Macaca mulatta: one gene and its partner. The protein of the gene in region 1 interacts with the protein of each later gene in a biochemical or structural test. Links are inferred from orthologs where the notes say so. Each region holds a gene or a part of one and is shown in the gene's direction. Other genes may lie near its edges.

Evidence for each region.
Region 2: the proteins of EYA2 (region 1) and SIX1 form a complex in vitro, tested with the Homo sapiens proteins (2 studies listed by IntAct, with this or other methods). The link is inferred for Macaca mulatta from reciprocal best matches to the Homo sapiens genes EYA2 and SIX1.

What each region holds. Positions count from the first base shown.
Region 1 is NC_133415.1:99,877,813-99,881,455, forward strand, and holds part of EYA2 (protein phosphatase EYA2), read left to right. Parts: intron 1-109; coding exon 110-287; intron 288-3,643. UniProt on the Homo sapiens protein: Functions both as protein phosphatase and as transcriptional coactivator for SIX1, and probably also for SIX2, SIX4 and SIX5.
Region 2 is NC_133412.1:133,780,148-133,784,312, reverse strand, and holds the start of SIX1 (homeobox protein SIX1), read left to right. Parts: upstream 1-1,297; 5' UTR 1,298-1,796; coding exon 1,797-2,356; intron 2,357-4,165. UniProt on the Homo sapiens protein: Transcription factor that is involved in the regulation of cell proliferation, apoptosis and embryonic development. Plays an important role in the development of several organs, including kidney, muscle and inner ear.

The sequences.
Region 1 (3,643 bases):
AGAAGTTTTAGGAAACCGTTTTGATCTGACAGAGCAGCCAGGCTGACCAACGACCCGAGCCCAGAAAGGCTTCCTCACGCATGTCCTTGGTTTGTTTTTCTCTTCCCAGGACTATCCTTCCTACCCTGGCTTCCCCCAGAGCCAGTACCCCCAGTATTACGGCTCATCCTACAACCCTCCCTACGTCCCGGCCAGCAGCATCTGCCCTTCGCCCCTGTCCACGTCCACCTACGTCCTCCAGGAGGCATCTCACAACGTCCCCAACCAGAGTTCCGAGTCACTTGCCGGTAGGTGCAGGCACTGGTGGGGCCATTCATGGTTGTGGCCTGAGAGCTTCTATGAGGGAGGGACCTGGACATGGGGCCTGGTTGTAACAAACAGGTTACCCAAGGGTCATTCATGGTTGTGGCCTGACAGCTTCTATGAAGGAGGGACCCAGACATGGGTCCTCGTTGTAACAAACAGGTTACCCAAGGGTCATTCATGGATGTGGCCTGACAGCTTCTATGAAGGAGGGACCCGGATATGGGTCCTGGTTGTAACAAACAGGCTACCCAAGGGCTAAATCCATCTCTCAGACATGTTTTGTTGGCCTGTTTGTGCGTGTGTTTAATTGCATTTGTGTTTAAAAGTCAGAAAATTTTATTAATACCTAAAAATTCTATTTTCTGGCTTCTTTTGAAAGAAGATCTGGCCATAGTAGCCACATTCCCAAGGAACATCACTTGGTTAAAACTAAGTGTGTCTGCTCTTTTTAGAAAGGACACACCCAATTCCACATCTAGCCAGCTTACCCCATGTTCATTACTGCCTGACCCATGTAGGCCTTGGAGTTGATGAGCCTGGTAGTATTTATAATATTACTGGCCAGGTGCAGTGGCTCACACATGTAATCCCAGCACTTTGGGAGGCAGAGGTGGGTGGATCACCTGAGGTAAGGAGTTCGAGACCAGCCTGACCAACATGGTAAAACCCTGTCTCTACTAAAAATACAAAAATTAGCCTGAGTGGTGGCAGACACCTATAATCCCAGCTATTAGGGAGGCTGAGGTAGGAGAATCACTTGAACCTGGGAGGCAGAGGTTGCAGTGAGCCAAGACCGCACCATTGCACTCCAGCTTGGGCAACAAGAGTGAAACTCCATCTCAAAAAATTAAATAAATAATAAAATATTACCCATCTGGTTCGTGCTAAGCATATACCTGTGTGATCTTCTCTAATCACTGACTTATATATTTATTCAGCAAATATTTGTTAAGCACCTGCTGCATTTCAGGCCCTCCCTTTAGTTTGGGAAATAAAGTGCAATGTAGAGTTAAGCTTTGCAGACAGGAATCGAATAATCATACAAATACCTCGTTAAAAACTGCGATAAGGAGAGGCATAATCCTCACAAAAACAGGTTGATATTATCCCCACCCTTTTTCTAGATAAGAACAATGAAGATGAGAATGATAAGGAGCTTGCTAGTCATTGGCGGAGCTGGGATCCAAACCCCAGTTTGTTGGCCTCCATAACCAGCACTCCTGCTATGCACTGGCCGTACACAGCCAGGAATAGGTTATCTAAAACTCATTTGAGAACAGAAGGGCAGAGGCCTTCAAATATTGATTCTTTGTCTAAGAGGGGTTCAAGTATAGCAACTCAGGGTCCTCAAGAATTACAGAATCCTTCAAAACATCCTGAAGCATGTTCATTTTTTTTCTTTCAACTTTTATTTTAGGTTCGGGGGTACACATGCAGGTTTGTTACATGGGCAAATTGCATGTCACGGAGGTTTAGTGTACAGATAATTCTGTCATCCAGGTAATCAGCATAGTACCCACTAGGTAGTTTTCCAGTCCTCACCTTCCTTCCATCCTCCACCCTCAAGTAGGTCCTTGGGTCTATTGTTCCCTTCTTTGTATCCGTGCGTACTCAATGTTTAGCTCCCACTTATAAGTAAAAACATGTGGTATTTGGTTTTCTGTTCCTGTATTCATTCACTTAGGATAATGATCTCCAGCCCTAACCATGTTGCTTCAAAGGACATGATCTTATTTTTTATGGCTGCGTAGTATTCCATGGTTTATATATATCACATTTTCTTTATCCAGTTCACCATTGATGGGCACCTAGGTTGATTCCATGTCTTTGCTATTGTGAATAGTGCTGCAATGAACATATACATTCATGTGTCTTTATGGTAGAAAAATTTATATTCCTTTGGATATATACCCAGTAGTGGGATTGCTGGGTCAAATGGTAGTTTCATTTTAAGTTCCTTGAGAAATCTTCAGGCTGCTTTCCACAGTGGCTGAACTAATTTACATTCCCATGAACAATGTATAAGCATTCTCTTTTCTCTGTAACCTTGCCAGCATCTGTTATTTTGTGACTTTTTAATGATAGCCATTCTGATTGGTATGAGATGGTATATCATTGTGGTTTCGATTTGCATTTCCCTAATGACTAGTGATATTATTTTTTCATATGCTTGTTGGCTGCATGTATGTTTTCTTTTGAGAAGTGTCTGTTCATGTCCTTTGCCCATTTAATAGAGTTGTCCTTAAGGATGTTTGTTTCTGATGGCACAATAGTTTTAGGAAACCCTTTTGATTAGCCAAGATTTTTTGGCTTCAAAAGATATAGAAAATCCAATTCAAACTAGTTTAAGAAAAAACAAATGAATTTTTAGGCATTTCTAACCAAGATGTTCAAGGGTTTAGGGCTAGGTCTAGGTGTTCCAATGATAAAGTTGAGACTTTGTCTCTCTCTTCCTTCTGGCTCTGAATTTTCCTGGGTTCATTTCATTCTCAGCCAAGCTTCTCCCGTATGGTGGCAAAGATGGCCACCAATTACCAAGAGCTCAATCCTGTCTGCTAATCCACCCCAGCAAACATAATTCCTCCTTCTTAGCCATTCCTGCAAAAGTCCCAAGTAAAGCTCCCATTGGCCCAGCTTATATCACATGCTCATCCCCAGACCAATCTCTGTGGTCAGTGGAATGGAATGCTGGATGAAGCAGCAGACTTTGGGCTCATGCCTATGGCTGGAGCTAGAGTTGGGGTCAGTCTCACCTCAACCACCAGGGACTGAGAGTGAGGAAGAGGTGATCACCTCAAAAAACCAAGAGCACTGTAACTACAAGAAGACAGAAGAGGCACTGGATGAGTAAAAACAATAAATGTCCACAACCTTGATATCGATCCCACCTGTGCTAAGAGCAACATGTGACAGAGTCCATGTCCTGACCCCTCTGTGGTCACAAAACTTGGTGTGTAACATCCCTATGCAACTAACGCACCAGCCTATGGATTCATTCATTCATTCCCCAGACCTGCTATGCACATCTTCTCTTTTACAAGATGGTTTTGGCTTATCAACATTAAATAACATGGCGGCAATACATTAGAATGTCAGTAGGTATCACTGAGTTTTGTTCCTTTGTCTTCTTTTCTGAAACCTGCTGATGTTTGTAGGGCTTTGCAGAAGCTAAGCTAGCACGATGGTGTGGAGACAGTCATCAACAAATATTAATTGGTTGATTGTTAGAAAAGGAACAATAGGGAAGACCCACCTGTTTTGTTCCTGGGGTTCTTGGTGTGGCTACTGATTTTAGCCCTTAAATTTTCCATCACTGGGAGTGAGTGGGTTATCCTTG
Region 2 (4,165 bases), on another chromosome or scaffold:
TTTTGAACTTATCTAATCAGAGATAAGTATAGTCATAAAGTCACTCTCCTTCCACCATTTGGCTTCCCTTATCTCCACGCATTGTTCTTATCTCCTGCTGGTCTCAGCTACCGACAATAGATTATCTTTGTTTAGAGAGGCTAATTGTCTTCAAAATCTTTTTAATAATTGCTTTGGAACCAGGTGTGCAAATGAGGCTTAAGATAATTACAACTTCATTTGTTTGTGCAGTTTTACTAAGCATTCTCCACACATAAACAAAACAGCAGATGATGGGACTTAAATTGCAGTACATCTCTCATTCCTTGGCAGCAAAATAGGCCAGCATTGCAACACACACACACACACACACACACACACACACACACACACACACCCCTCTTTATTTAATCTTCTTGGAGCCGCTGTCGTCCTCGCTTTGAGGGCAGTGTCCCTCTCAGAGCAGGGTAAGGATTATGTTACAACCGGACGGTTATTGGAGCCGGGCACAATTTTATTTAATTTACACCACATCCAGCGCCTTTCGTACGAGGTTCCCAAAGCATTTTTTGCTAATAGCAAGTAAAGCTTCTCGGCATTCCTCAGTAGCAGAAGTGGCATTGGAAAACGCAACAGCACAGATGGGGGAAATTGAGTCTAGAAGCTTCAGGAACCTGCTGGTTTCAACCGCAGAACATTAAGATACCAAATCACAAATGAACGCTCGGAGTCTCTAGGTGCTCAGCAAGTATGCCCGAAACACCTCTTTGCCTGGTCTCAAATCATGGACGTCCTTTGTGAATGAGGGAAACGCTGTCCGACTGGGAGTACTTGTGCCCTTTGGAGGGTGGTGTGCGGCAGCTGGGGGAGGACAGTGGGAGTTGGTGGGGGGAGGGGGAAGGAAATAGGGTTGGCTTCTCGAGCTGAAGCCAACCCGAAGAGAAGCCACTGCTCCAGAGGCTGCATGCGGAGACCCAGGTCTGCTCTTGAATTATTTATCGCGTTCCATAAGCTATTCATCAATCCATTATTTATTCATTCCAACATTAAAGTAATTAAATATGAGCTCACCGGGAAAGGGCAAGTTTGTAAGGGATGAAAGCAAGAGTACGGAGGGAGAGGGGAGGAATTAAGGTTTGGAGTAATTGATTTGTGCGGAGTTTTGCGCGACTCCCCTTAGGTGATACTGGTGACGGGTCCCGCGCTGCAGGGTCCTGACGCGCTCACCCACTCTCTATCTCCCCACACCTCCGCAGCGCAGCTCCCTCAGACCCCAACTGGCTTCCCACCTTTCCTCTTCCTTCTCCTCCCACCACTCCCTCCCTGCGCAGCCCCGGCAACACCCCCAACCCCCAGCTCCTCAGCCTCGCCCTCCCCGCGCTGGGCGGTGCGGCCTCGATGGGCGGTGCGGCCTCTCTGCCCAGCCGGGCGGCGCGCTGGCTGGCCAGCCCGGGATAGGCGCCGCCCGCAGCCAATCAGCGTGCCGGGGACGCTGCGAGCTTTAAGGCCGCTGCGGGGAGAACAGAAACCAAGTTCCCCGGCAACTAGCAGCATCCACCGGGCGGGAGGTCGGAGGCAGCAAGGCCCTAAAGGCTACTGAGTGCGCCGGCGGTTCCATGTTCAGAGCGTACCCTACTCCTCCGCCTTCTCTTGCTTGGCTGCCCACCTCCAAGTTCTGACTCGGGTTTTCGCCTTTGCAAAGCCTAAGGAGGAGGTTAGGAACAGCCGCGCCCCCTCCCTGCGGCCGCCGCCCCCTGCCTCTCGGCTCTGCTCCCTGCCGCGTGCGCCTGGGCCCTGCGCCCCGGCAGGCCCCAGCCATGTCGATGCTGCCGTCGTTTGGCTTTACGCAGGAGCAAGTGGCATGCGTGTGCGAGGTTCTGCAGCAAGGCGGAAACCTGGAGCGCCTGGGTAGGTTCCTGTGGTCACTGCCCGCCTGCGACCACCTGCACAAGAACGAGAGCGTGCTCAAGGCCAAGGCGGTGGTCGCCTTCCACCGCGGCAACTTCCGTGAGCTCTACAAGATCCTGGAGAGCCACCAGTTCTCGCCTCACAACCACCCCAAACTGCAGCAACTGTGGCTGAAGGCGCATTATGTGGAGGCCGAGAAGCTGCGCGGCCGACCCCTGGGCGCCGTGGGCAAATATCGGGTGCGCCGAAAATTTCCACTGCCGCGCACCATCTGGGACGGCGAGGAGACCAGCTACTGCTTCAAGGAGAAGTCGAGGGGTGTCCTGCGGGAGTGGTACGCTCACAATCCCTACCCCTCGCCGCGCGAGAAGCGGGAGCTGGCCGAAGCTACCGGCCTCACCACCACGCAGGTCAGCAACTGGTTTAAGAACCGGAGGCAAAGAGACCGGGCCGCGGAGGCCAAGGAAAGGTACGCGGCGTGCTTCCCGCGACTCGGGCGACCCCAGGAAGCCTTCCTTTCCCCTTCGCCCCCTCCCGCCCCCGCAGGCACCAGCCACCAAGTCCTCCTGGCCGGCCGAAGCCCGTCCACGGGGCGGCGCGCAGGCCTCCGCAGCGCTGCAGAGAAAGTTCATGAACTCTGAGGTTCCTTGCTAAGAATGGGGCCTCATTTGCTTTGAGCACCCGCGCGTGGGTTTCTCTGGGATGTGAGTTTCGGGAAATATTGGCGCTAGGTTTGGTTTTCATGCCTCCCTGGCTGGCCGCGGCTTGGAGTGGTGGGTGGAGAGTGAGTTTCTAAATCAACGGGCAATGAAGTGTTGATTGGCGTCGCAAGGAAAGGAGTTCGGTGGGAGCTGAGGTTAGCGAACCTCTCTCCTCTTCGCTCCCCAGAGGGGTGAAGCTGGTCTGAGACATTGGCTCTGCCCCCACTCCTTGCGGGTTCTCCACCGCTCGCTCTCGATAGTCTTTTGGATTAGGGGTCGCCTGCTTCATTTCTCAGTAGCTGGACAAAGGGCGGGGTCTTTTAAAAACACACCAAAAAGAGAGCTCTGGAGAGAGTTGGCGCTGCATTTACTCCCCGGCGCCCCAAATTAAGAAAGGGTTGATCCTCGTCGTGCTCGCTCGCGCGTGGCCCGGCACTGCAGCCCGTCGGTCTGGCTGAACGCGCTGCCTGCCCAGACGAGGAAAGGGTCTCCATTCGCAGCCTTCTCTCGCACTGGAGCTCATAAGGCAATGTTTTCAAAATTGGTCTCTACCTTCCCCCACCTCAGGGCAACACCTTCGGCCACCTGGCCAGGCTCCTTCTGTTCTCTGTAGAGTTTCCGACAGAGATTCGGAAGAACGGTGGGGAGGTGGCTGTGGCGGGGAGAGCGCTCTGCGAAGCCAAAGAGTTGGGGGGAAATCTGAGCGCAGGGGCCGCTTAGGTTTTCCTTTGTTCGCTTCCAAGACTGGGGGCGGAAGATCTTGCTTCCTTTCTTGCTTAGTGGAAAACCAGAGCCAGGATAAATTCTGCTGAAATGGGCTTGCCGGGAGACAGAGACTGTGAGGATAAGGGGAAAGAAAGGAGGAGACAGGCGCGAGGAGTCGGGAGGACCCGCGAGCACTCGGAAGGCGGAAGCGGCAAGGGAAGCGAATCCTGAAGTTAACCGGCACCGAGTGCCGGGACTGACGCCCCAGAGCGCGGCGCCCGCTGGCAGCCTGTGCCGGGCGGCGAAGTTTCCCCTGCCCAGAAAGGATGGGTTAGGGTGGGTGTTGGTAGGAAGTTTGAGAGGGGGACACGAGGGGCTGAAGGGTTAGCAAGTAACACAGGATCGGGGATTGTAGGGTTGCAGTTAGCCTTTAGTTGCAAAACGGCCGTCCTATAAGCCAGGCCCGAGGGCCGACTCCAGATGAAATCAGAGAGACTGGCTGCGCTCCCTGTGTTTACTCAGGTCACTGGGCCGCTCTGGGCACCACTTCCCATGACCTGTCCTGTGTCTCCAAAACCACCAACTCTGGGCTGGGGCAGGAAAACGGGATGTTTGTCTCCTCATATGGGAACAAGGCAATGGACTTGATTCACCCCAAACATTTGTGCATTGGACTCTGTCCTCTATCATTTCTTTATCACCAATATCTATTGAAAGATTTTCAAAGTTAGTTACATTTAAATATGGTGCTAGTTGATATGTATTTAAATGTAACTGCTTGAACAAAATTTAAAACATATATTTTGTATGTTTCAAATAAATCCTGCTAATCTATCGCTTTCTGAAATCTGAAAGAGAAAAGGACCTGGCTC